Linked DNA regions of Cricetulus griseus. The protein of the gene in region 2 interacts with the protein of the main gene of each other region in a pairwise test. Links are inferred from orthologs where the notes say so. Each region holds a gene or a part of one and is shown on either strand. Other genes may lie near its edges. The genes, in order: Krt20, Amotl2, Mfap1, Rad51d, Brms1l and Thra.

Evidence for each region.
Region 1: the proteins of Amotl2 (region 2) and Krt20 interact in binary tests that used the Homo sapiens proteins (3 or more experiments, as listed by UniProt). The two-hybrid records come from large-scale screens. The link is inferred for Cricetulus griseus from reciprocal best matches to the Homo sapiens genes AMOTL2 and KRT20.
Region 3: the proteins of Amotl2 (region 2) and Mfap1 interact in binary tests that used the Homo sapiens proteins (3 or more experiments, as listed by UniProt). The two-hybrid records come from large-scale screens. The link is inferred for Cricetulus griseus from reciprocal best matches to the Homo sapiens genes AMOTL2 and MFAP1.
Region 4: the proteins of Amotl2 (region 2) and Rad51d interact in binary tests that used the Homo sapiens proteins (3 or more experiments, as listed by UniProt). The two-hybrid records come from large-scale screens. The link is inferred for Cricetulus griseus from reciprocal best matches to the Homo sapiens genes AMOTL2 and RAD51D.
Region 5: the proteins of Amotl2 (region 2) and Brms1l interact in binary tests that used the Homo sapiens proteins (3 or more experiments, as listed by UniProt). The two-hybrid records come from large-scale screens. The link is inferred for Cricetulus griseus from reciprocal best matches to the Homo sapiens genes AMOTL2 and BRMS1L.
Region 6: the proteins of Amotl2 (region 2) and Thra interact in binary tests that used the Homo sapiens proteins (3 or more experiments, as listed by UniProt). The two-hybrid records come from large-scale screens. The link is inferred for Cricetulus griseus from reciprocal best matches to the Homo sapiens genes AMOTL2 and THRA.

What each region holds. Positions count from the first base shown.
Region 1 is NC_048600.1:113,147,868-113,151,823, reverse strand, and holds the start of Krt20 (keratin, type I cytoskeletal 20), read right to left. Parts: upstream 2,801-3,956; coding exon 2,390-2,800; intron 142-2,389; coding exon 59-141; intron 1-58. UniProt on the Homo sapiens protein: Plays a significant role in maintaining keratin filament organization in intestinal epithelia. When phosphorylated, plays a role in the secretion of mucin in the small intestine.
Region 2 is NC_048597.1:210,958,158-210,962,377, reverse strand, and holds the start of Amotl2 (angiomotin-like protein 2), read right to left. Parts: upstream 2,801-4,220; 5' UTR 2,794-2,800; coding exon 2,643-2,793; intron 2,373-2,642; exon of another isoform or gene 2,186-2,372; intron 1,758-2,185; exon of another isoform or gene 1,444-1,757; intron 957-1,443; exon of another isoform or gene 224-956; intron 1-223. UniProt on the Homo sapiens protein: Regulates the translocation of phosphorylated SRC to peripheral cell-matrix adhesion sites. Required for proper architecture of actin filaments.
Region 3 is NC_048599.1:56,948,267-56,951,766, reverse strand, and holds part of Mfap1 (microfibrillar-associated protein 1), read right to left. Parts: intron 2,947-3,500; coding exon 2,838-2,946; intron 2,748-2,837; coding exon 2,587-2,747; intron 318-2,586; coding exon 158-317; intron 1-157. UniProt on the Homo sapiens protein: Involved in pre-mRNA splicing as a component of the spliceosome.
Region 4 is NC_048600.1:96,308,849-96,312,843, reverse strand, and holds the start of Rad51d (DNA repair protein RAD51 homolog 4), read left to right. Parts: upstream 1-1,195; 5' UTR 1,196-1,385; coding exon 1,386-1,467; intron 1,468-1,783; coding exon 1,784-1,845; intron 1,846-2,021; coding exon 2,022-2,140; intron 2,141-3,995. UniProt on the Homo sapiens protein: Involved in the homologous recombination repair (HRR) pathway of double-stranded DNA breaks arising during DNA replication or induced by DNA-damaging agents. Bind to single-stranded DNA (ssDNA) and has DNA-dependent ATPase activity.
Region 5 is NC_048598.1:146,525,975-146,529,474, forward strand, and holds part of Brms1l (breast cancer metastasis-suppressor 1-like protein), read right to left. Parts: intron 2,829-3,500; coding exon 2,745-2,828; intron 2,331-2,744; coding exon 2,266-2,330; intron 1,197-2,265; coding exon 1,157-1,196; intron 1-1,156. UniProt on the Homo sapiens protein: Involved in the histone deacetylase (HDAC1)-dependent transcriptional repression activity. When overexpressed in lung cancer cell line that lacks p53/TP53 expression, inhibits cell growth.
Region 6 is NC_048600.1:111,846,855-111,850,354, reverse strand, and holds part of Thra (thyroid hormone receptor alpha), read right to left. Parts: intron 2,690-3,500; coding exon 2,543-2,689; intron 2,089-2,542; coding exon 1,830-2,088; intron 1,260-1,829; coding exon 1,132-1,259; intron 1-1,131.

The DNA.
Region 1 (3,956 bases), on a different chromosome or scaffold from region 2:
CACGCACGCACACTTGCACACACACACACCTATAGTCACTGTGATGTAGGGAACCTACTTCAATCTGAAGTCCTCTGCAGCCAGTTTAGCATTGTCAATTTGCAGGACGCACCGAGCATTTTGAATTTGAGCATCCTTAATCTGGAAAGCATAAGAGAGAGAAAGAATGACATTTTCATCAGGGCTGGAGATAAAAAAGATCTCATTTGTCCTCAGAGACAACTGTAATTACATCAAAAGCGATGTCCGTTTCAAAAGTGTGAGAGTAATTAGGTGCAATAGTGACACAGGTATTGAGGTAATAGTTAAAAACAGGACTCTTGGTCTGACCCACTTTCTTGTTTTTGTACAAAACAGAAGTTGGACTTCATCCATATCCCTGAACCTTATTGAGTGTCTTGTCTGTGGTGATGTTCATGCCTGGAATATTGCCGTTAGCCCTCCTCACCTGGGGAGCTCCTATGCCTTCAGCTCTCAGCTCAGACACCGTGGCTTCAAGGGGGCCTTCAATGATATCCCCCAGTTCTAGCAGGGCCGTGTCCCTGCTTCTGTGGCTCTGTACAGCCTTCCTGCGTTTACCTGAGTGACAGTTGCTTTGGTCCAGGCCTGTCTCCACCTTACACTTTATTTACCCACACATTCTTCTATGTGTGATGCTCAGTACCCAGCTAGTGTCTATGAAACAGTGAGTGAATGACAACTTGCCATCTGGTAGGCATTAGGCATTAGGATGGAAGGATGGACACACCCTGGTTTTCTCTCTCTCTCTCTCTCTCTCTCTCTCTCTCTCTCTCTCTCTGTGTTCATATGTACAGGTATATACATGTGTAGGTCAGAGGACAATCTTCCATGCTATTCCTTAGGTACTGTCCACATTTTTTGGGGGAGGGGCAGGGTCTCTCATTGTCCTGGAACTCATCAAGTAGGTCAGGCTGGCTGACCAGCAAACCCCAGGGATCTTGGGATTACAAGAACACACCATCATTCTCCAATTTTTTTTTTAACCTGGGTTCTGGGGATCGAACTCAGGTTCTTGTACTTGAAAGACAAGCACTGTATTCTTTAAGATGCATGTAGACGGGAAGTCTACTTCTAGAAGACATGAAAATGACACATCTCTTTCAGTAGCTATTCCTGGAGAGAGGTCCCTTGAGAGGCTTCCAGCTAGAAGGTACTAATGGCTGCTCTGAGGTATCATGGGTAATCCCCGAGTCAATTCAGAAGCATCAACCTTGAGAGCAGTGCTGGAGAACAATCATTTTGAATGTGTTTCAGCGAAAGCCTGAAGGAACTCCCTGTTGAGGGTGATGTAACCACCTTAGCTTCCTGAGCTGATTGTTTCTGTGAATCTGAATCAGGCTGCACTGGTACCTATAATACAGCTCCAGCAAAGAGGCCTTCGGGCCAAGTCAATGGCCTTTGCTCTAAAGGGGTAATCATTTTAAATATACGCAAACCAGAAAGGGACACTTTCCTTGATTAGATAAGAATGCTGAAGCAAAGCAAATGGTGTGCTGTGCTTGACCTTGTCAGCCCGGAGCAAAGTCTCCCACTTCTAGTCCACTGGGTTTATAAAGAGAGAGAGAGAGAGAGAGAGAGAGAACCCCACCTATCTTGGATGACACAGGAACAGATTGTGATATGATTGTAATAAATTTGAATTGGGGGCAATAGAACATTTTATTATTGCTGAAGTGCTTTATAAAATGCTTGATGATGGTCAGCAGAAACTTAAACAGGACATTAAAAAATCCACTTAGCGAAACTGAGCATGGTGGCTAATCCCAGTGCTGAGGAGGTAGAGGCAGGAGAGCGGTGAGGTGCAGACTAGCCTGGGATATACAGGGAGATCTTGTATTCAAAAGCTGTTCCTTCCATCCACCCTACCACCCATCATCTACCCATCTGTCAGTCAATACAGACACTATAATATCTGTAGTCTGTCTGCACTCTGAACCCTTGTAATATTTATACCCATAGCAGGATGACACTTGAATTGTAACATTTATATGGATGAAAAGAGAAAAATCTCTTTAAATTGATCTGAGTCTTCAAAGTTGGTGAAGACTAGTGGGAAACTCACATAGAAACCCTTGGAGTTCTTTTAAAAATAAGATTATTCTCCATGAAGACCTGACATTGGAAGCCACGACAAAGACACAGGCTGTAATTTTGGATGATAAGATCATCACATTTTATATGTAATTAGGTGGGTTAAACGCATCCTGTTTACACTAATGCCACATGATAAAATAGATTTTTCAGCTATAAAGTTCAACCTAATTTGCTTCACGTGTTTGAATTCGCCTAGCATACACTCACAACCCCCCCCCCCTTAATCTAGTATACTACTAAACAGTAATGTCGAAAACACAGGTCCATGACTTACCTGATTTTGCAGCTCTTTGATTTGTGCATAGTAGGGACTGTAGTCCCGGATGGTGCTAGGCGCATTGGTTTCATACCACTGCTTGATCTGGACTTCAAGTCTGGAGTTGGATTGCTCCAGGGACCGCACTTTTTCTAGGTAGCTTGCCAAGCGGTCATTGAGGTTCTGCATTGTTAGTTTCTCATTGCCAGCAAACAGGTCCCCTCCACTGGAGAGATCACTCGCATAGCTCACTACAGATTTGGAGACAGAGATGCGAGTGCCGTGGCCTCCAGCCCCACCATAGACACTGGGTGCAGCCACCAGGCGCTGGGCGCTCCCCTTCCTGTACATGGAGCTACTCATGCTAAGTGCTGGGCCTTGTGAGGAGGAACTCAGACTTCTGTGAAAACTTCGACGACTGAAATCCATCTGGGATCCTGGGAGGCAGCACCTGTAGCCTGGAGTTGGAGCACAGCCTGTCTGTCTCTGGTGCTGGAGAGCTGACCTTTTATAGAGTTCAGGAGAGACACTCCTCCTCTGCTGCCTTGTCACCTCAGGAATGACACAGTCCACTTTGCTACCTCCCCCTCTTTTGTACAGCAATATGTTTCATCCTATTCCAGAAATGACCACTAGAGACACTTTATTAAGGCTTTTCTAGTGTGTGTGTGTGTGTGTGTGTGTGTGTGTGTGTGTGTGTGCGCGCGCGCGCTGGGCGGGGGGAGGAGGGAGTGGTGATTTCTTTTTAATGAACACAAGTATCAAAAAGAATGAGGAAGGGGTGTTCTTTCAGATCTTGCACCTGCCCTGGCAGGTTTTTTTTTCATCCCCGTGTACAAATAAAGAATATTTACAATCTATATGAATAATTCAGGCTTTGAACAAGACAGCTGTGGGAACACAATGGTAAGTCATACTGGTGAGAACAGACAAAGGCTTGTTCCAATGACGAGCTGCTTTTCAGAACCTCTGTTTTATGCTCTTTTTTTTTTTAAATTTGCTTTTGAGTTTATCCTTGTTTAGAACTTATATTTTTAGTCTGTTGAAATATCTTGTATGAGGCTGGGTGTCCTGGTGCACACCTGTAATTCTAGCAATTGGGAAGCAGAGACAGGAGGATTACTGCAAGTTTGACACCAGCCTGCTACATGGGCACGTGAGTACACACACACACACACACACACACACACACACACACACACACACACACACACACACACGGAGTTTGAGAACTGAATGTGGTGAATAAGTAAATGAGTATAGGTGTTGATTTTGGAGTTGAAAATACTTTCAATAGTAGTTTTAGGAAATTTCATATATGTATATAATGTATCTTGATAACATCTACCCTGACTTCGCTCTCCAACTGCCCCAGAAGCCCCCAACACATTTCCCATCCAACTTATGCTCTCCCCTCTTTTTAAAAATAACTCATGAATCTAATTAGTGCTGCCTGTGTACTTATGGGTGTACTGGGGTGTGGGAGGTGGCCACACCTCCAAAGAAAATCCAACTCTCTTCTTGACTTCCAGCAACTCTCAGCTTCCAGGAACTCCTAGACTAGGGCAGGAGCCTTGAGAGCCCC
Region 2 (4,220 bases):
CTGATTCTCAGTTTGTCCCAAAACAAAACAAAACAAAACAAAAACCAAAAAACAGTGTATTCTTAATCACCACTAACTGAGGGAAAATACAGTGTGCCTCTTGGAGAAGTCAAGCACTTGGTGAGCTACCAATCCTTGACAAATGCTTATCATTGTAATGACATTTATGGAGACTTAACTGATCCTACAGAAATACAACAGAAGGGTTGTAGAGATGGCTCACCAGTTAAGAGGGAACTGACTGCTCTTCCAGAGGACCTGGGTTCAATTCCTAGTCCACATGGCAGCTCTAACAACTGTAACTCCAAGACCTGATACCTTCACACGGACATGTACGCACATGCAAAACACCGATGCCGTAAAATAAAAATAAAAAAAGTATATATTTAAAAAGAAAGACAACAGAAAACCAGAAAGTTATCCAATAGGGACCATGGTCCCCTGCAGTCAACCACTACACCAAGCAGTCTCATGAATGACTCTAGGACAAGCCTCCATCCAATTCAACCACTTAACAGTCCAGACCCCAGTTTACTAGCAGATGGTAAAGAATGAATGTAGCCTGGTAGAAAGGAGCCCTAAGCAAATGACCCCCATGACTCTTCAGAATGAAGATGCTTGAGCCACAGGTAGTCAGTCCACCACCCTCCATGGGGTTCTCTTCCTGGAAGCAGACAGTCCCTGAGAGACAGACTAAGCTTCTTCAAAGGCTGCCTATAAAATGAATCCCAGTTTCTTTGTCATAGATGACCTTAGCAATCATTCTGCAAGGTGAGCAGCAGGAGAAGCTGCGTGTGACCTGGCAAATGCGGCTAAAGAGAGAAAGGACAATGGTTTTTGGGAGGAGGCAGAGGGGTGCGCTTGCAGTAACTGGAGCCAGCGACACAGCCCTGCTACTTAGAAAAGCCTCTACTTGTATGTACCCTAGGCACATAGGGGACGGTCCCCCTGCATCTCTGTTGACATTAGAAACAACCACCTGAGCCAACTGATGGGGTAATGGGGTAAGGGAAAAGACGAAGGGGAGGGCGGGGGAAACGTGCCCCGCCCCGGTTTGGGAATGGTATGTTGGCAGAGTTGGGGGAAGGAAGTGAGTCTTGTGGACATCTATGCACGCAACCCATTCACTCTTCGTAGCATCTAATTCTCTCTCCACTGCACCCTACAATGTGTAAGACTTGAGTCTGCTCGCCCGTAGCTTTTTCTTCGCGGCATTTCCTAAGTTAATCACTGGGCTGACTCCCGCTAAGGAGGATCCGGGAGCGGCTAGAAGGAATGCAGAGCCTTCGCGACAGATTCCAGGCGCGCCAACTATGAGCCAGGCTCCGGGAGCAAGGAACATTTCCGAAGCGTTTTACCGCACACGGCTCCCAATCTAATCCCCTAGATGCACAATCTTTCAAATACCTAGAGTTGAGCCATTACTAAAACCAGCTTCCTTACCCGGGCGTTGCACCTGGGCTGCTCTGGAGCTCTGCACTCTGAAAGCAGCCTTCTTAAGCAAACACGCGTTTCTGGCCCTGGCCTGGGCTCCCTCTCGACCTGAGGCGGGCCACTAGCACCGATGGCTGCCTGAGTGCTCCCGACAAGCATAACCCGCAACCGCGACAGAGGTCTTTAAGCATCGCGGGTCCTCCTCTCTCCCTAGACCTCTTTGTTTTCCAAATACTCCAGCGCTGACGTCACCGGGCTGGACAGCAGGCTGCATTCTTTCTAAGTGAGAGCCAGTTCGTGGCTCCGGAGAGGATTTTCCAAGGAAGACAAAGAGGAATTCTTGAGCTAGCTGAGGGTAAAAGCCACCTGTATCCCCAATCTAGACAAAGCAGCCACTGGGACCCTGCATTAGGCAAGATATGCCTACAGCCGTTTTCCACTTGCCCCAATCGCGAGACTCACATCCCCAAACACCGAACCTCTGTCCCTCCTCCAGCCCCAGTGGGTCGGAGAGTCGTGTCCTCTCACCCCCCCTCAAAAAAGCGCACACCGTAGGGCTCCCCGGGCTAGACAGACACCTAGGATCGATCGTCGAAAGGGTGCACCGCCTCCCCTTCCCGTTCCCAGAGAGGGTCGTCCACCCCAGCTCCGGTTCCCAGAAAAGGCCGGGCTGATGGCGGAGTCGGGGTGCCGCTGGGGAGCGTCCCCGCTGGCCTCGCGCGCTGCCCGGAGAGCCGGACACCTTTCTTACCGCTGCGGCCCGCGGCTGCCGGCGCGCGCAGACCGGATTCGGCTTAGGTACGTTCGGCAGTGAAGGTGCGCACTCGCCGGTGGCGCCGACGTTCTGGCTGCTAGCGCCCCAGTGCGCAGCCCCTGGGTCAGCCCGCGCTGGAGGCGGCTGCTATGCCAGGAATGTGAGAGTTTCAGGTTCCCCCTCGGGATCAAAGCGAACCACAAATAACCTCTCAGCGCGCCGCCCTCCTCCGCCCTCCGCCTCCTCCCGCTCCCCGTCCGGGCCCCACGCCTTCTTCCCGGGAGGCGGCGCTGCGGCTGGCCGCTGGGCTGGCCTCAGCCTTGTCCCCTCGCCACCCTGGGCTCTGGCGGCCGTGCTGCGTTCCCTGCCCCCTGCCTTACTGTCCTAGCTGTTGGAGGTGTCTTAACCAACTCGGCCCAAGACCTCCCCACCACTGTCCGCTCCCGGTTCTCACCGGTCATCTCTACAAGCACCGAGGAACGACTTCCAGGGATATGCCTCGCACGCCCCTCTGGTGGCTGCGGGAGGGAGTCTCTCTGGCGTTTTGGAGATGGCGGGAGGACTGCAAAGCAGTCCACATCCGCCCAGCTTTGACCGTGCTGCATACGAACAGATGCTTCGGCTTGCAGCTGCCCAGCCTCTTCTCTAACCCCTACTATTTCACCCCCCAGCGGCAAACTTTGAATTGCACTTTTATTGTTTACAAACACCTTCTCCAGCTCTTTTAGATCCTGCCTCTACAGGAAGTGTGAATCTGGGTTGAAAATGTGGAGTTGACCCACTACCCAAATGAATCACTCTCAACTGGGCACTAGGTCCAACTCCTCCCCAACTCCACTCAGCTTTAAGCCGAGTACACGACGGGCCACCACGCGCATTTCATTCGGCCATCAGATTCCAGTCACTCTCTGACAGCGTTCTTTCATCGTCTTTGTAATAAATAGGAAACCAAAGCTCAGAGTTTAAGCAGTTTACCTAGGGTCACACAGAGAGTAGCTGATAAGCCAGGTCTCTTTTCGTGATCACCGGAATCCCGGCTCCCTAAGTCTCTGCTTTCACCCACCTGTCCCCAATTCCAATATCTTTTCCACTTCTCCTACACCCAGCCAGCCCTCTTTCCTGTCCGCTTCGCTACCTTCTGCTGTTCTGCGTGGAATGCCCCCACCCGCACCCCGTCTTTTTGGGTCCTCCTTCTACCTTTCCAGGAGACCCCTCGTTAAGCAAGGCTGTTCTAACTCCCTCCTCCTCCCTCCAGTAAGAGCTCCCAGTGGTGTTCATTCCTCGGGGCTGATTTCCGCGGCTGGCTAGCTGGGTCCTCCTGTCTGTCTTTCCCTCAGCACAGTTAGGACAAGGGGCAAGAAACCTTTCAAGTCCAATAGGCAGGGATGTGGCAAGTTTTCTATAAAGCTTCTCTTTAAAAGCGTGTGTGTGTGTCAGGGTGGGTCCTAACTGGTTAACAGCCCGTGGTTTTGTGGAGGATCTATGCCTTCAGTTCCTAGCACCCACCTGGTGGTTCACAACCATCTTTAACTCCAGTTCCAGAAGGTCTGACACCCACTTCTGAACCACGCTGGTACCAGGCACCAACATGGTGCTCATACGTACATGCAATCAAAACATTCATACATACAAAATTAAACGAAAATCAAAAAGCCCTAAAATATGTATATGTTTTGCTTGAAATTCAAACATTGCATTTCAGATTCTGATTGTGTCTGAGCCAAATGAGAAAACCACAAATGTGCCCAGCTAAAGGACACTATATAAAGAGAAGCTGTGGCCGGAACATCATACACATTATTGTCCCCACTAGCTGCACTAGGTAAGAGTCTTGTGGCAGAGGCAAAAGAGGAGGTTCCCAGGTGTCCTCACTTCATGGACAGCATTCTTGGAAACCCTTGGTGGAGACACTTATAGAGTAGGTACAGGCACACACGCTCTGAGTTACAAAATCGGGAGAAAGGCCATACGGCACAGTCTTATGGTTCACTGGTGCTTAGAGGGGCATCTAACAAGATGTTTGACAAGCAAG
Region 3 (3,500 bases), on a different chromosome or scaffold from region 2:
GATTAAAGGTGTGCACCACTATGAAACAGCCTATTTTAAGTATCTTCATCGCTTCTTTTTAGTGTACAGATGGCAAGGTCATGTTACAATGTCAAAAGGTTCAACATGCCTGTAAATTATTCCCATTGCCCAGTTTTCTGACTCCCTTTTCACTTACCATGAAGAAGGCACCCCGGTGATAATACTTTTGTAAAAACTTGTATTTCCCCTTAACGGCTTTGTTGGTAATGACTTTGCCATTCGCCCGAAGTTCAGCTCGCCTTTCCTCCTCAGTCAGGTTTCGCATGCGTTCAATCTCTGCTTTCTCCTTTTCAAGCCTATTCAGAGAGCAAAAGTATTAGTATTTTCCAAATTCAAAAAGCCCAAATTTCTGAAGATAATGGTCTCATCTTCTTCAGCCATTATTCACCTTTTCACATTTCATTCATTCACTCATCCACAGCAGGTCTGCTTTATAGCTTGCCCGGAACTCTCAACTTCCGACCTCCTCTCCCAACTGCTAGTATTATATAGATAGGCTCATGCTGCTACACCTGACTACATCTTTAGTTCTGTTAACTGCTTGTCAGAAGTCAAGCTCGGGAGTCCAGTGAACAAAAACATGAGTTGGTCTTCATTATTGTGTTTACCAGAACAGGGCTATAAACATTCCAAAGTTGAATCTAGCCTTTCTGAGATTCAGACATATAATGTTTGATTTTACAACACTAATTCTGTCTTCCCTCAAATACTTTAGCTTTCAAAACAAAATTAAAATGAATAAAAAAATGGATAAGAGAGCTTATAATCTTTCATAAGCATAATGTAATCCATATATTACCTGCCACAAATTAAGGATTACCAATATTAAGTACAGTGGATTTAAACCTTATTTGGGGAGAAAGGGAGGTTATATTCTCTGTCTCAGACAAATATATGTATATATATATATATAATTTTAACATTAAAGTCTAATGCAAAGATTGGGGATGTGACTCAGTGGTATGGTGCTCACACAGTGTGCATGAAGCCTAATTCCTATCTCTAGCACTATAGAAACTGGGCATGAGGCCACATGCTTGTAACTAGCACTCAGAAGGCAAAGTCAGAGGAGCAGAAGCTGAAGGTCACCATTGGCTACATAGAACACTGTCTTAAAAACAAGAAAAATGTCCAAGAATAACTCAACTCCAGCTATAGGGAAGTGATGCCCACCCCCTGCTCTGGATTCCACAGGCACCTACACTCACACAGATACATATCCACACACATATACACATAATTTAAAAAATTTCAGGCTGGAGAGAAGGCTCAGCAGTTAAGAGCACCGACTGCTTTTCCAGAGGTCCTGAGTTCAATCCCCAGCAACCATGGTAGATCACAACCATCTGTGATGGGATCTGATACCTTCTTCTGGCGTGCATTAAGAGCATTCATGACTGGGCGTTGGTGGCGCACGCCTTTAATCCCAGCACTCAGGAGGCAGAAGCAGGCGGATCTTTGTGAGTTCGAGGCCAGCCTGGTCTCCAGAGAGAGAGTGCCAGGATAGGCCCCAAAGCTACACAGAGAAACCCTGTCTTGAAAAACCAAAAAAAAAAAAAAAAAAATCTCAGCTGGGCAGTGGTGGCGCATGCCTTTAATCCCAGCACTTGGGAGGCAGAGGCAGGTGGATCTCTGTGAGTTCCAGGCTGGCCTGGTCTACATAGTGAGTTCCAGGACAGCCAAGGGCCCTGTCTCAAAGGAAAAAAAAAAAAGCTCAGTATAAGAACATTAGGGGGTGGCTGGAGAGATGGCTCAGGGGTTAAGAGCACTGACTGTTCTTCCAGAGGTTCTGAGTTCAATTCCCAGCAACTACATGGTGGCTCACAACCATTTGTAATGTGATCTAGTGCCCTCTTATGGCATGTACTGTATACATGATAAATAAATACTCAAAAAAAAAAAAAAAAAAAAAAAGAACATTAGAGGGGCTGGAGACATGACTCAGTGGTTAAAAGCACTGATTGCTCTTCCAGAGGACCCAGGTTCAATTCTCAGCACCCACATGGCAGCTTACAAATGTCTGTAACTATAGGTCTATGGGACCCAACACCCTTATACAGACAAAACGCCAATGCACATAAAAATAAATAAATAAATATTAAAAAAAAAGAACATCAGAAACTAAAAAATAAAGACAGTTATGTAGTGGTGGCTTTACTTTGTGAGTTAGCAGTTCAGAAATGAACTTGCTTTTCAAGGTACTTGCTGCTCTACACTCTTAGATGTAGAATCTGCTCCTCTATCCCTTTCTCCCAGGCTGCCCTTGGCTCCATCTGAATAATAAAAAAATAGCACAGAAGTGACATTTGACTCCTGGAACTTAAAACTCAGGAGATCTTGCTAGTTTTCCATTATGCCTGGAGCTGCAGTGTGAGCATCTAGCCTGAAAGGCAGCATCAGTTGTCAGACATGCCAGAGAAGGGCTTCTGATGTTCTGGCCCAGTCAGTCCTCCAGCTGGAGGCATTGTACAGGTGAGCCCACTGAGACTATGAGAGGAACTGCTTGGTCAATCTCCACAGATAAACCAGTGCCATTCAATCCATCAATGGCTTCCCACTACTCACGCTTCTCGGTCTTCTCTGTCCCTCTTGATTCTTTTGAGCTCTCTGACTTTCCAGGCCTCGTATTCCTCCTCATCATTTTCATCATCTGTATTGAGCGCATCCAGTGCAGCAAGAGACCGCTTGTTCTCCTCCAGCTCTTTCTTGGTCTCTTCTTCTACAATCTGGAAAAGGACAATTCAGCTACTGGACTCCATCTCTCTATAACCTCATCACACAGACCCTTGCACTCAATCCATGGCCACTCCCAGCACCTTTAGTGTGTACTTGCGCCGCTCCTCAGCCATACGTTTTGCTTCCTGCTCCAGTTCCTTTTGTTTCAATGCTTCAGCTTCTCGTTCTTGAACTGTCACTCGGTCCTTCCTGCATCACAGAGGTCCTGTTAATTGCCCAAAGTCCTTAGAGTGGAACTGTGTCCCTCTAGATCTAGTCCTGTTCGAATCAGACAAAGCCCAAACCAGGAAGCATCTCAGCTCTATTTCTTCCCCCACTATCACCTTTGTGTGTGTGACATATGTTATATTCCTGGTCTTTAAAGACTTCCCTTAAATTTAAAAAAATTTCATTTTTATTCACTTTTTGAGACAGTGTCTTCCTATATAGCCCTGACCAGCCTGGAATTCCCCATGTAAACCAGAGAGGCCTAGAACTCACAGATCTGCGTGCAGGCATTAAAGGCATGGCACGGATGCCCAGGAACTGGAGTTACAGATGGCTATTAGTTGCCATGTGGGTGTTGGAAATTGAACCTGGGTGCTCTGGGAGACAGCTAGTGATCTTAACTGCCGAGCCATCTTTCTAAGCACCTTGTCTGTTGACAAGACTTTTATGGAGTGCTGCTTAGCCTCAAACTCATGGCAAGCCTCCCAGAATGTTAGGATTAGAAACAATTTACCACAATGCCTAGCTAGGTAAGT
Region 4 (3,995 bases), on a different chromosome or scaffold from region 2:
ATGGTGAACATGGGGAAATATTTCTAAAAATGGGCCAGACTTCTCTGCTATGGAGAGAGCACAAGGTAGAAAGCGAACCCACATCTTCCGGGGAGGGGAGAAAACAAGTTCAGAAACACTGGCTTTGCAGTTGGATGTGGGCTTGAGATTCAATTCTGTGCTTGCTAGCTGCGTAACTCGGAGAATAAATGTCTTCCTGAGTCACAACTCAACTACAAAATACAGAGAGAAACAGAACCTCACTCAAAGGTTTGTGACACTGCTTTATTTCTCCCACTGGATGTGGTAAAGAACATTTCAAAATAGTAAACTGTGTTTCACATGTTCTAAATACTCAAGCATTGACTCCCACTAAAATCTTTGGAAAATGCCTGGTGGTGATGGTGTACATCCTCATTCAAAACACTCAGGAGGTGGCCAGCCTGGTCTATACAGTAAGTAGCAAGACAGCTAGAGACGCACAGAGAAATCATGTCTCAGAAAAGAAAAACCTTCAGAAAATATGGGGCTAGAGAAGTAGATGCTGAGTTATGAACGCTGGTCCTCTAGAACAACCAGTGCTCCTAACTGCTAAGCCACTTCTCTAGCCCCCATCTGTAACAAGTCCAAGGGAATCTGACCCCCCTCTTTGGCCTCCTCAGGCACCAGTCACGTAAGGGGTGCACAGACATCCATGCAGGCAAAACATTTATATGCATAAGATAAAACTTAAAACACTTTTTTTTTTTTTGGAAAATACAGGGGTGCAGGTGTGAACTTCACTGGATCATACAATCTGTAATGGTGTGAACTGATTGCTCCTTATTGTCTGTTTCCCTAACGTGAATGCTACTAGAAGGCGGGTATGCTTCACTCAGTAAGTAGGGTGTGAATGTCCCTAGCGTTGGGAATGGAGGCTAGTACACAAGGGACTCGGGGGGGGGGGGCAGGGGGAGAGGAGAGGGAGAGAGGAGGAGAGAGGAGATAGAGAGAGGGAGGAGAGGGAGAGAGAGGACAGAGAAGAGAGAGGGAGAGAGAAGAGAGGAAAGAGAAAGAGAGGAGAGAGGCAGAAAGAGGGGGAGGGAGGGAGGGAGTAGCTGAGACTGGCAGGTGGTTGGCCCTAGCCTGAAGGCCGCCGCGTTTGCCCGCTTGGTCAGCAGATGGCGCTACAGGCCTGGGCCACAAAAGCCGCTCCAGTTGCGGAACCCGGAAGCGTCCGCCGGGAGGGGGCGGGTCCAGGGCTCTGGAGTTTGGAAGGGCTGGTGTCCCTCACCCCGATCTGCATCCTCTTCCCGCCCCCTTCCCGCGCTGGCGTGCCGAGACTCTTTCCAGAAGTGGGACCTAGTGGGGGGTCTCGGCGGGCGCCCATGTGACAGCCCCCGGGGCGCCCCGGGTTTGCAGGAAACATGGGCGTGCTCAGGGTGGGGCTGTGCCCGGGCCTCACCGAAGAGATCGTCCAGCTTCTGAAGGGCCAAAGGATCAAGACAGGTGACCTCCTGGGCTCGTGACACATAACATGGGCACGACCGCGGGGGTCGGCGCCATGGTGTTGGCACACGTGCGGGGCGTTTCAATCTAACCGGAGGCCACAATTTGACCTCAGTATGGGGTTCTCAGGAGTCAAGACGGAGACAGAGGACTCGACTGTGTGCTGGGCTCCTCTCCGGGTCCTGCATCAGGGCCTGCGTGCTTGAGATGGGGAGTAGACTAAGACCTTAACGCCATTTCCCAACAGAGGAAAAGGCAAGCGTGGCAAAACTAAAGCATTCCTGTTGTTAATAGGTTGCTCTTGGTCTCTTTCCAGTGGCGGACCTGGCAGCTGCTAACCTGGAGGAGGTAGCCCAGAAGTGTGGCTTGTCCTACAAGGTGAGCTTACCATGTGCAAACTCCATCCCAATGTCTCTTCTAGAGCGGGTCCCCATGCTGCAGAATCAGAGTTCCCGGAAGTTGCTAAGGGGCACTAGACCTAGATTGCTCTGCGGGACAAGCTGGTCACTGGCAGTCTGGGTGCTCTGGAGACTGTGTGTCCGTACTTTTGGCAGGCCCTGGTTGCCCTGAGGAGGGTATTGCTGGCGCAGTTCTCGGCTTTCCCATTAAACGGAGCAGACCTATATGAGGAACTGAAGACTTCCACTGCCATCCTGTCCACAGGCATTGGAAGGTTTGTATGTTTACCTGGGCAAGAACTTGAAAGCCGAGCTTCCCATGCGGAGACTACAAAGGGCAGGACCGGTGAGGGCAGTCTGGATATGTCAGGGAACCTAGAGGCATCTGAACTCCTGAGATTTTTTTTTTTCCCCTTAGAGTATAAAGACAGGGGTTCTTAGCCTCAGCACTATTGAGACTTAGGGAGCAAGTAATCATTTGCTAGGGTAGGGGTATCCTGTGCATTGAGAGACGTTTAGCAGTAACCCTGGGCTCTACCCATCAGATACCAGGTCATTTCTTCTGCCCTGAGTTGTAACAATCAAAAATGTCTCCAGATATGACTCAGTATCACCTAGGAGACATCATTTCCCACTGAAGAGCCATTGTCCTGTAACACATGATGTCACTAATGCCCCATTTTTTATAATTTATTTTTTAAGTTTCATTTTACATTCCAACCTCAGTTCTCCCTCTCATCCCCCCTAATATCCCAGTTTTCAGTAGAGTCTCTGATACTTCAGGATAAGGTAAGTGAGACCAGGACAGGATTGAGATTTCCTGGGAGTCTGCACCTAAAGTCTGACCCTAGGGCAGTGGTTCTCAACCTTCCTAATGCTGTGACCCTTTAATACAGTTCCTCATGTTGTGGAGACCCCCAACCATAGAATTATTTTTGTTGCTACTTCATAACTATAAGTTTGCCATTGTTACAAATTGTAATGTAAATATCTGATATGTGACCCCTGTGAAAGGATTGTTCAATTTCCCAGGAGGGTCAGGACCCACTACCATAGACTCTAGATGTTAGAGATTTTTTTTCCAAAGATTTTATTTATTATGTATACAATATTCTGCTTCCATGTATATCTGCACACCAGAAGAGGGCACCAGATCTCATAACGGATGGTTGTGAGCCACCATGTGGTTGCTGGGAATTGAACTCAGGACCTCTGGAAGAGCAGCTGGTACTCTTAACCTCTGAGCCATCTCTCCAGCCCCGATGTTAGAGATTGTTGACCTCCTTTGTGGTTAGCCTAAGAGGAGGGGTCGGCAGAAGTGAGCCCAGGGAAATATAACCCAGAGCCTTATGCCTTTGCCGTAGGAGGCAGCAGCCAGGAACATGTACACTCACTGAAAAGAGCAGTTATATTGTGCCCTGTTGTTCGGGTTGGGAAAGAATTGGAAGACAGCTGGCATTTTCTGGCCAAGTAAGCCTGACCTCTCTTCTGGCCTGTTTGTGCGGAGTTTGATGAATAACACTGCTATCACAAAGGTCTTTGGATTGGTCTGGCCCTTGCTGTTTCCACAACACACTCTTGGCAAGGTCCGCACAGTCTGGTGCTTGCTTCCACTGTTTGGGGGGTCTGTGTTTGTAATCCATCAAACATTGGCTGAGTGCCTACTGGGTGCCAGACACATGCAGATACTATCTGTACGAGTGAGGCAAGGCTCCCACTCTTAAGTATGGTGGTTAGTGTATATGGGAGACTTGTGGGTGCGGCAAGGAGGCACATTGGCTTTGGAGCCCAGGGAACTTATAAAACCAGCATCCACAGAAGGAACAGTGAGAAGGTACACTGGCAGGATTGCAGCTGCAGTATTCATGGGTGGGGGTGGGGGCTCAGGGTGGGACAGGTAGCCTTGGCATAGGCAGAGCTGGCCCTGAGTGCTCACCTTGACTCTGACACTGTGCTCAGCATTTCATGGCATGCATTTCATTTGTCCTTCATAACCCCTAATGTGAGTTCACTGCCCTTGAAATCATCTATGTATGTGTACATGAAGGAATAGGGACTTAGGTTCAGGCACCGGCATAAGATCCTGCAGCTACTAGGTTAGATGGTAGATAGATTGGGCACTGGAGGTCA
Region 5 (3,500 bases), on a different chromosome or scaffold from region 2:
AGAATTCTATTTAACAAGAAGTCTTACATCAATAAATTAAGTAGAGAACCATCAAGGATAAATCTCTAGCCTCTACATATACACACCCACATACCCACACACCCACACACCCACACCCACACACATGTGAACATACATACAAACACATCTCTCTCTCTCTCTCTCTCTCTCTCTCTCTCTCTCTCTCTCTCTCTCTCTCTCACTCACACACACACACACACACACACACACACACACACACACACACACACACACCAAGAAAAATCAAAGACCCAAAACTCATTCTAGAGATTCGGGCATCTGTCTCCTCCAGTCAAGAGTAGTATATAGATACAGCACTGCTGCAATTTACTGATATGAAATAAAGTTTAAAGTCATCATTAAAAAAATTGAAACTTTCTTAAAGATAAATACCTCTAAAGATGCTTTTAAAATGAAACAAGAATTCTTTTCCTTACTATTTCAAATATGCTTTTTTAAAAAGCTAATAACCCTTTAAAGCATTATAAAAATCTACCCAAAAAGAAGCAGAAATAGACACCAATGTTCATCACAACTTTGGCAGCTATCTTAAAGTTGAAAACAACAACAAAAGCATATATAATTCTAGCACTAGCACAAGCACTCAGGGGACAGAGGCAAACAAATCATAATTTCCAGGCCAGCCAAGGCTACTTAGCAAAGCCCTGTCTCAAAACACAACATGTAAATCTCAGTGGCAGATAAATCTCTCAGTACTCCACTGTCAGAATTCTAGTATCTGCTGATGGGAGGAAAAGCACTCCTAAGAAATTTAGTAGACAACTCCAGAGAATCTGAACTCCCTGGAACCAATTCATGAGTTCCAAACACTTCATTTAAAGAAGTAATGGGCCAATTTAAAAAAAAAAAAAAACCACTGGGGGTAAATGCATCTTGAATTACAGATCTAATATCAGTAAAAAAGATATGGCCTAACAATGTAAGAAGAAATACAGAGCATTGGAAACTTTCAAGCTTTTTCATGAAGCAGGAGACTCTCGAGCTCCTTGTAAGGTCGGTTACAGAGTTTGTTGATTCATGGAACCAGTGGTGTGCAGCTCCTCAAAACACAGGGCATTTAACCACTCGGATTCAACGGCTCTCCACAGAGAGGATGTCACAACTCATGACTTACGTTCGGTCTTAACACGGTGTGGACCCAGTGTAGCCATTGCCTTAGAAAAAAGAGAGAAAGAGGGGAGAAATCTGAGTTCAGACTACTGAAAATGCATTTTGCTCTCTATAATATATACAACATTCTTGATTGGTTCAGTAACAGAATAAAATGTAAACACTAGCAGCTCTCATTTTCTTGTGCTGGGGGAAGAACCCAAAGCATCATGCACACTAGGCAAGCACACTAGGCAAGCACGCTAGAACTGAGAGGCATGCCCAGCCTCCAGACTAATGGTCTCTAAGGTCACAGAGAATACCTAGTCGGTGTTGATAGCACTCGCCTTTAATCCCAGAACTCGGGAGGCAGAGGCAGGCGGATTTCTGTGAGTTCGAGGCCAGCCTGGTCTCCAGAGTGAGTGCCAGGATAGGCTCCAAAGCTATACAGAGAAAGCCTGTCTTGAAAAACCAAAATAATAATAATAATAATAAATAGGATGAAAAAACAGAGAATACCTTCTCCCATATTTATTAACAGCCGAAATGTTTCTCTGGATAATTTATAAAAACTGAAATTTTTAATAAGGAAAGCAAGCCTCAAGCCAGGTCTGGTGGCACAGGCTTATAATCCAGATCCCAAGAAGGCCAAGGCAGAAGGCTCACAAGTTCAAAGACTATGGGGGCTACAAAGTGAACTCTAGGACAGTCTGAGCAAAATAAAAAGTAAAAACAGTAATAGAAATAAGTAAAAAGATGGCAATATACATAGTTCTATTCTTAAACAAGCATCAGAGTCCATTCATGCCTTGATAGTTATTAATAGAATATAAGACACTCAAAGTTTAATGTATTCATTCAACAAATATCTACGGAGTGCCTCCTATAGGGCAAAGACAGACAAAGCTCTAAACCCAAATACTCTAGGATAAACTAAACATATGTAATTCCATATTATTTTATAAATTACTAATTACTTTATTTCAGGAAAAATACAAATCACAAACTTGTCTCTAATTCTTAAAATATTCTATGGCCTACTACAAAGCAGAGTATATTTACAATGATTATATTCTCATATATTGATGAACAAACTCTTAAAAGGTAAACTCTTGCAACATTCATTAATCATACCTTCCTAATTGTTGTCCAGTCCTCAAGAATATCAAGATCCTGCAGCATATAAACTATATATGGGCGTTGAGAGGTCAAGGTCAACTCAGCAGTGAGAATACCACACACTTCAGAGCCCAATATGGTGCACACTCTGTGAACAGATGCAAGAGGACTATGGGCTCAAGGCCAGCCTGGGATACATATAAGATTTTTGTCTCAAAAACAACAAAAAGCACCCATAAAAACCAATCACACTGTATTATTATAAACAGCTGTTCCCCCTCAGTCCTGTGGACAGGACACTGACAATTTTCAAAGCTGAGGTGATGACTGGAGTTTCTATTCTCCCCTGCCCTCTAAGGCAACAGTCTATCTCTGGCTTCAGTCATTTTGTAAGTCTTCACATGCTTGTTCTGGGACAGTCCAAGTAAAATCAGTGTGTGCTGAAGTAACGGAGACAGACTGTGTGGAAGCGCAGCAACTGTGGGAAAGGATATCTGAAACGACAACTGGCTTCTTTTTGTCGGGGCTGAAAGGATCCTTCCTCTTTTTTCTTGACTGAAGCTCATCATTCCACAGCTCTGCAAGCAAATCAAAGTGTGAGCTGATTCCAGTGGCCACAGGAAGAAAGAGCAGTACATAATTTCATGTTTACTGCTTACATACATACAAAACTGTACAAAACTCCAAGGAAGCTACACAGAGGTAGGTTTTTTTTTTCTTTTTTACATTATTTACTTATTCATCAGGTGTGGTGTGTATGTATGCACACTTGAACACCACAGCACACATGTGAAGGCAACTGGTGAGAGTAGGCTCTCTTCCCGCCACATGGGTGCTGGGGATCAAATTCAGGTTGCCAGCCTTGGGGACAAGCACCTTTACCACTGAGCCGCCTCACCAGCCCTGAAGTACCTATTCTTTTTACTTCACTTTTCCAGACAAGGACATCAATTAAGAAAAACTAAGCAACTGTCCACAGACACCCAACTCACAAGCAAGGGAACACCCGCACTGATCTCATCAAATCTGCCCCAAGTATAGCAGAAAAGCAAAATGCAAACCACAAAAACAAAACATACTCAAGAACTGTGGGCCAACCTGGTAAAACATTTATCAGTGCACAATAGAAAACTTCCCTATCCTCACCCTGAAATGGCCACATTTCATACTGCCCTGGTCTTTCCTTTCTCCAAGGCAAATAAGCTGGCCTGGAAGAACACAGGGCTGTCTTCCAGTACAGTCACAGTAGT
Region 6 (3,500 bases), on a different chromosome or scaffold from region 2:
GCCAAGGTGTAGGAGGAGGGAGACAGGAGGCCCCTGGGGCTGGGCACTTGAAAGGGGAGCTGTGTGGGCAACAGGGCAGGCTGGTGAGGGGCCAGCTGGCATCCAGCGTGAGAGGTAGATGGCACTCAGCGGGCACGAGTGGCAGACAGCAGAGGAAGTACTGGGGTGCGGTGCCAAAGGGGCACAGGGTGGGGGCAAGGCAAGGGGGCGCCAGGACCCTGTTCTGTCATCTCACAGCTCGAATCAGCAGCCCTACCCTTGTAGGTCTGCTGGGGGCATTTCTCTCTGGGGTCAGAAGGGCAGCTCTCAAAGTGCATGGGGGTGGGAAGGGAGGGGGTCCTTCCCCTTGGGCCAGCCTCAGCTAATAACTTAATATCATCTCTCTCTCTCTCTCTCTCTCTAACATTCTCTTTTTTGTCTTTTTTTTTTTTTTTTTGTCTTTTCTGTCTAGTTTTTCTTCATTTATATTCTCCCCTCGCTTGGTTTCCAAAGTGCAGTAAGGATGACTACCATTTTAGCCTCCAGGGGAGGAGCCAAGCCAAACTGTCCTTTGTACCCAGGACCCAGGTATTTGGGGAAGTAGAGACCTGTGGCCTGAAGGGAATCTAGGCCAAGAAACTTGGCAGGGCTCTCCTGTGTATATAGGGGTGAGTGAGGGCATCTGCCCCTATTCCTCATTCCTCCTGACCCTACAATCAGGATGGCTTGTCCCTCTTATTTCTTCCTCCCTTCCCCTATTTTCTTAGAGGTTAGGGTCCCAGAAACTCTAGGACTTAGGCCCCAGCCTCCCACACTGTCTTTCATAGCAAGTTCATTTGTTGCCCTGTCCAAGGGCTGGAGGAGGTTCTGAGGGGGACTGGGCAGTGCAGGGGTATATGGGAGCTGCATCTATCCAAGGATGGGAGGAAGGAGAGAAGAGGTGGGGGGTTCTCCCTCAGCCCCCAGCTCTGTCCCTTCTCTCCAGGCTCCTCCCCACCAGCTCCGCACACCCTCTGGCCGCCTGAGGCTTTAGACTTCCTGATCCTCAAAGACCTCGAGGAAGAGTGGGGGAAAGAGTTCGGTGGGGCACTCGACTTTCATGTGGAGGAAGCGGCTGGCGTGGCAGGCCCCGATCATGCGGAGGTCAGTCACCTTCATCAGCAGCTTGGGCCAGAAGTGTGGAATGTTGTGTTTGCGGTGGTTGACGTAGTGCTCGAACGCCAGCAGGTACGCCTCCTGACTCTTCTCAATCTTGTCCACACACAGCAGGCCGGAGCGGTCTGCAGGGAGGGAAAGCAGGAGGCATGAATACCGAGGGTCTGAGAGAAATGCAGAAGAAACATTCAGGAGGGCATGAAGGGACTCTGAGGCAGAGACGCCAGGAGAGATCAAGGCTGGGCAGTGGTGGCGCACGCCTTTAATCCCAGCGCTCGCTCGGGAGGCCGAGGCAAGCAGATTTCTGAGTTAGAGGCCAACCTGGTAGGAATAGGTGACCGGGACTCAGGAAGGCCCCTAAGAACCTGAGGAAGCGATCCATGAGGCGGGTGGAGAAACAGAGATGGCATTGAGAAGAGAGGAAAACTGGAGGCAGAGGGGGAACAGAGGCAGAGAGAAGGTTGGAGATCAAAAGCAATAAATAGTCTGGAGACCAAACACGAGGACAAAAAAAATAATTAAAATATAGGACTAGGGGGCAGAGGAGGGACTGATAAACAGAGAGGGAGCCGGGGAGTGAAGAGATGAGACAGTGCCTATGCAAGATCAATAAAGGGGAAAGCAAGAACCCTTAGGTGTAAATAAACTCTAGAGCTCCTGAGAGCTTCTGGGACCTCTCAGCCATGGCAAGATACCTGTTGACATTAGCAGCACAGCTTGCAGCAGAGCCACTTCCGTGTCATCCAGGTTAAAGGCAGAGAGTGACTTGCCCAGTTCAAAGATGGCGTCAGAGACTACACCCAGGCCGCCATTCTTGAGCTGTTCGCGCTTAACCGCCATCTCCCCACTCAGCGTCAGGGTATCGCTCTCAGGGTCATAGCGGACAGCTGCCCGCAGGGACATGATCTCCATGCAGCACCCTTTCAGGAGGATGATCTGGTCTTCGCAAGGCAGCTGTGGAACAACAGGAGCACAGGCCACTCAGTACATCCTCTCCATGCCCCACAACCTCCCCACCCTCTTTGCTGGGCCATGGCCACTTATGCACTTAAACCCCACAGTTAGGCCCAAGAGTGAGGTCCCATCATTCTTCCAGTCCTCTTCAAAACACTGACGTACAGGGCATTTAGGTAAGTTGGCCAAGGTCCCACAGCTAGTACAACAGTCTATTTCCAGTTAGTGCTGTGCAGAATGAAGAAATGAGTCATGCTGCCTGGAGGTAAAATGGTCACTCAAGGAGTGTGTGTGTGTGTGTGTGTGTGTGTGTGTGTGTGTGTGTGTGTATACACAAGCTACGAGAATCACCCCCTGTCCAGAAAATATCTGAGGAATACCCAGTGAGGCTGTGTGACCTCAGAAATGATCCTAGGTTCCCTCTAGCAAGTCTCTCCTTCCATTTGCCACTCACCTCGGAGAACATGGGCAGTTTTTTGGCAAAGTCCACCACACGGGTGATGGCCGGGGTGATGATCTTGGTAAACTCGCTGAAGGCCTCTAGGTCTACCTTGTCTCCATCTGGCATGGAGACAATGGGTGACTGGCCAATGTCATCCGGCTAGAGGGAGAGAGATGAGGGTCACTGGGGCTGTGGACCCCTTTCAACTGCTCACTGAGACTCCCTGCCCACCAGGGGGAGCTCCAAGGCAGCCTGGGGGAAAAAAATCCCAGCCATGACTGTGTTCCAAAAGGATAGCCCAGGGCGAGCATTTCAAATTTGCTAGTGCTGATAATAGTGAGAATAGTAGTCAATAAATCGTAATAAAACACAGCCATAACGACTGAAAACACGGCAGCAGACCATAGGCTGGCCACACTGTTTTACATAGCTCCTTTTAATCCTCATCACAAATCTTTATGGAAGACAGCACTTCATAGACAGAAGCCTAGCACAGTTAAATGGTATGACCAGAGTCACACAACCAGTCCTTAGTGTAATTTCCATCCCTTAGCATACTCAGGGAGCCTGGCCCCAGTGGTCCATCGCCTTCCGGCCCTCAACTTGGCAGTAAGTTCTGTGAGGGTTCAATAAAACGCCTGGAGCCCTGCAGGTGCCCCACAATACTGTTATGTTGACTCTGTCCTCAGTCCCTGTGGGTTAGCTCTACCTTGGAATTCAGGAAGATAAGGCCCAGTTCTCATGGAGCACCCCACTGGATGGAACAGACAGGCTCCAGAAAGCAAAGGTGTAGAAAACCAGAACTGGGGGCTGGAGAGATGGCTCAGTGGTTAAAAGGAGCCCGGTTCAATTCCCAGCACCCACATGGGAGCTCACAACTGTCAGTACCTCTTGTTTCAGGGGATCCAACACCCTCACACAGACAGACACGCAGGCAAAACACCAATGTGCAATACAAATAAATAAATTA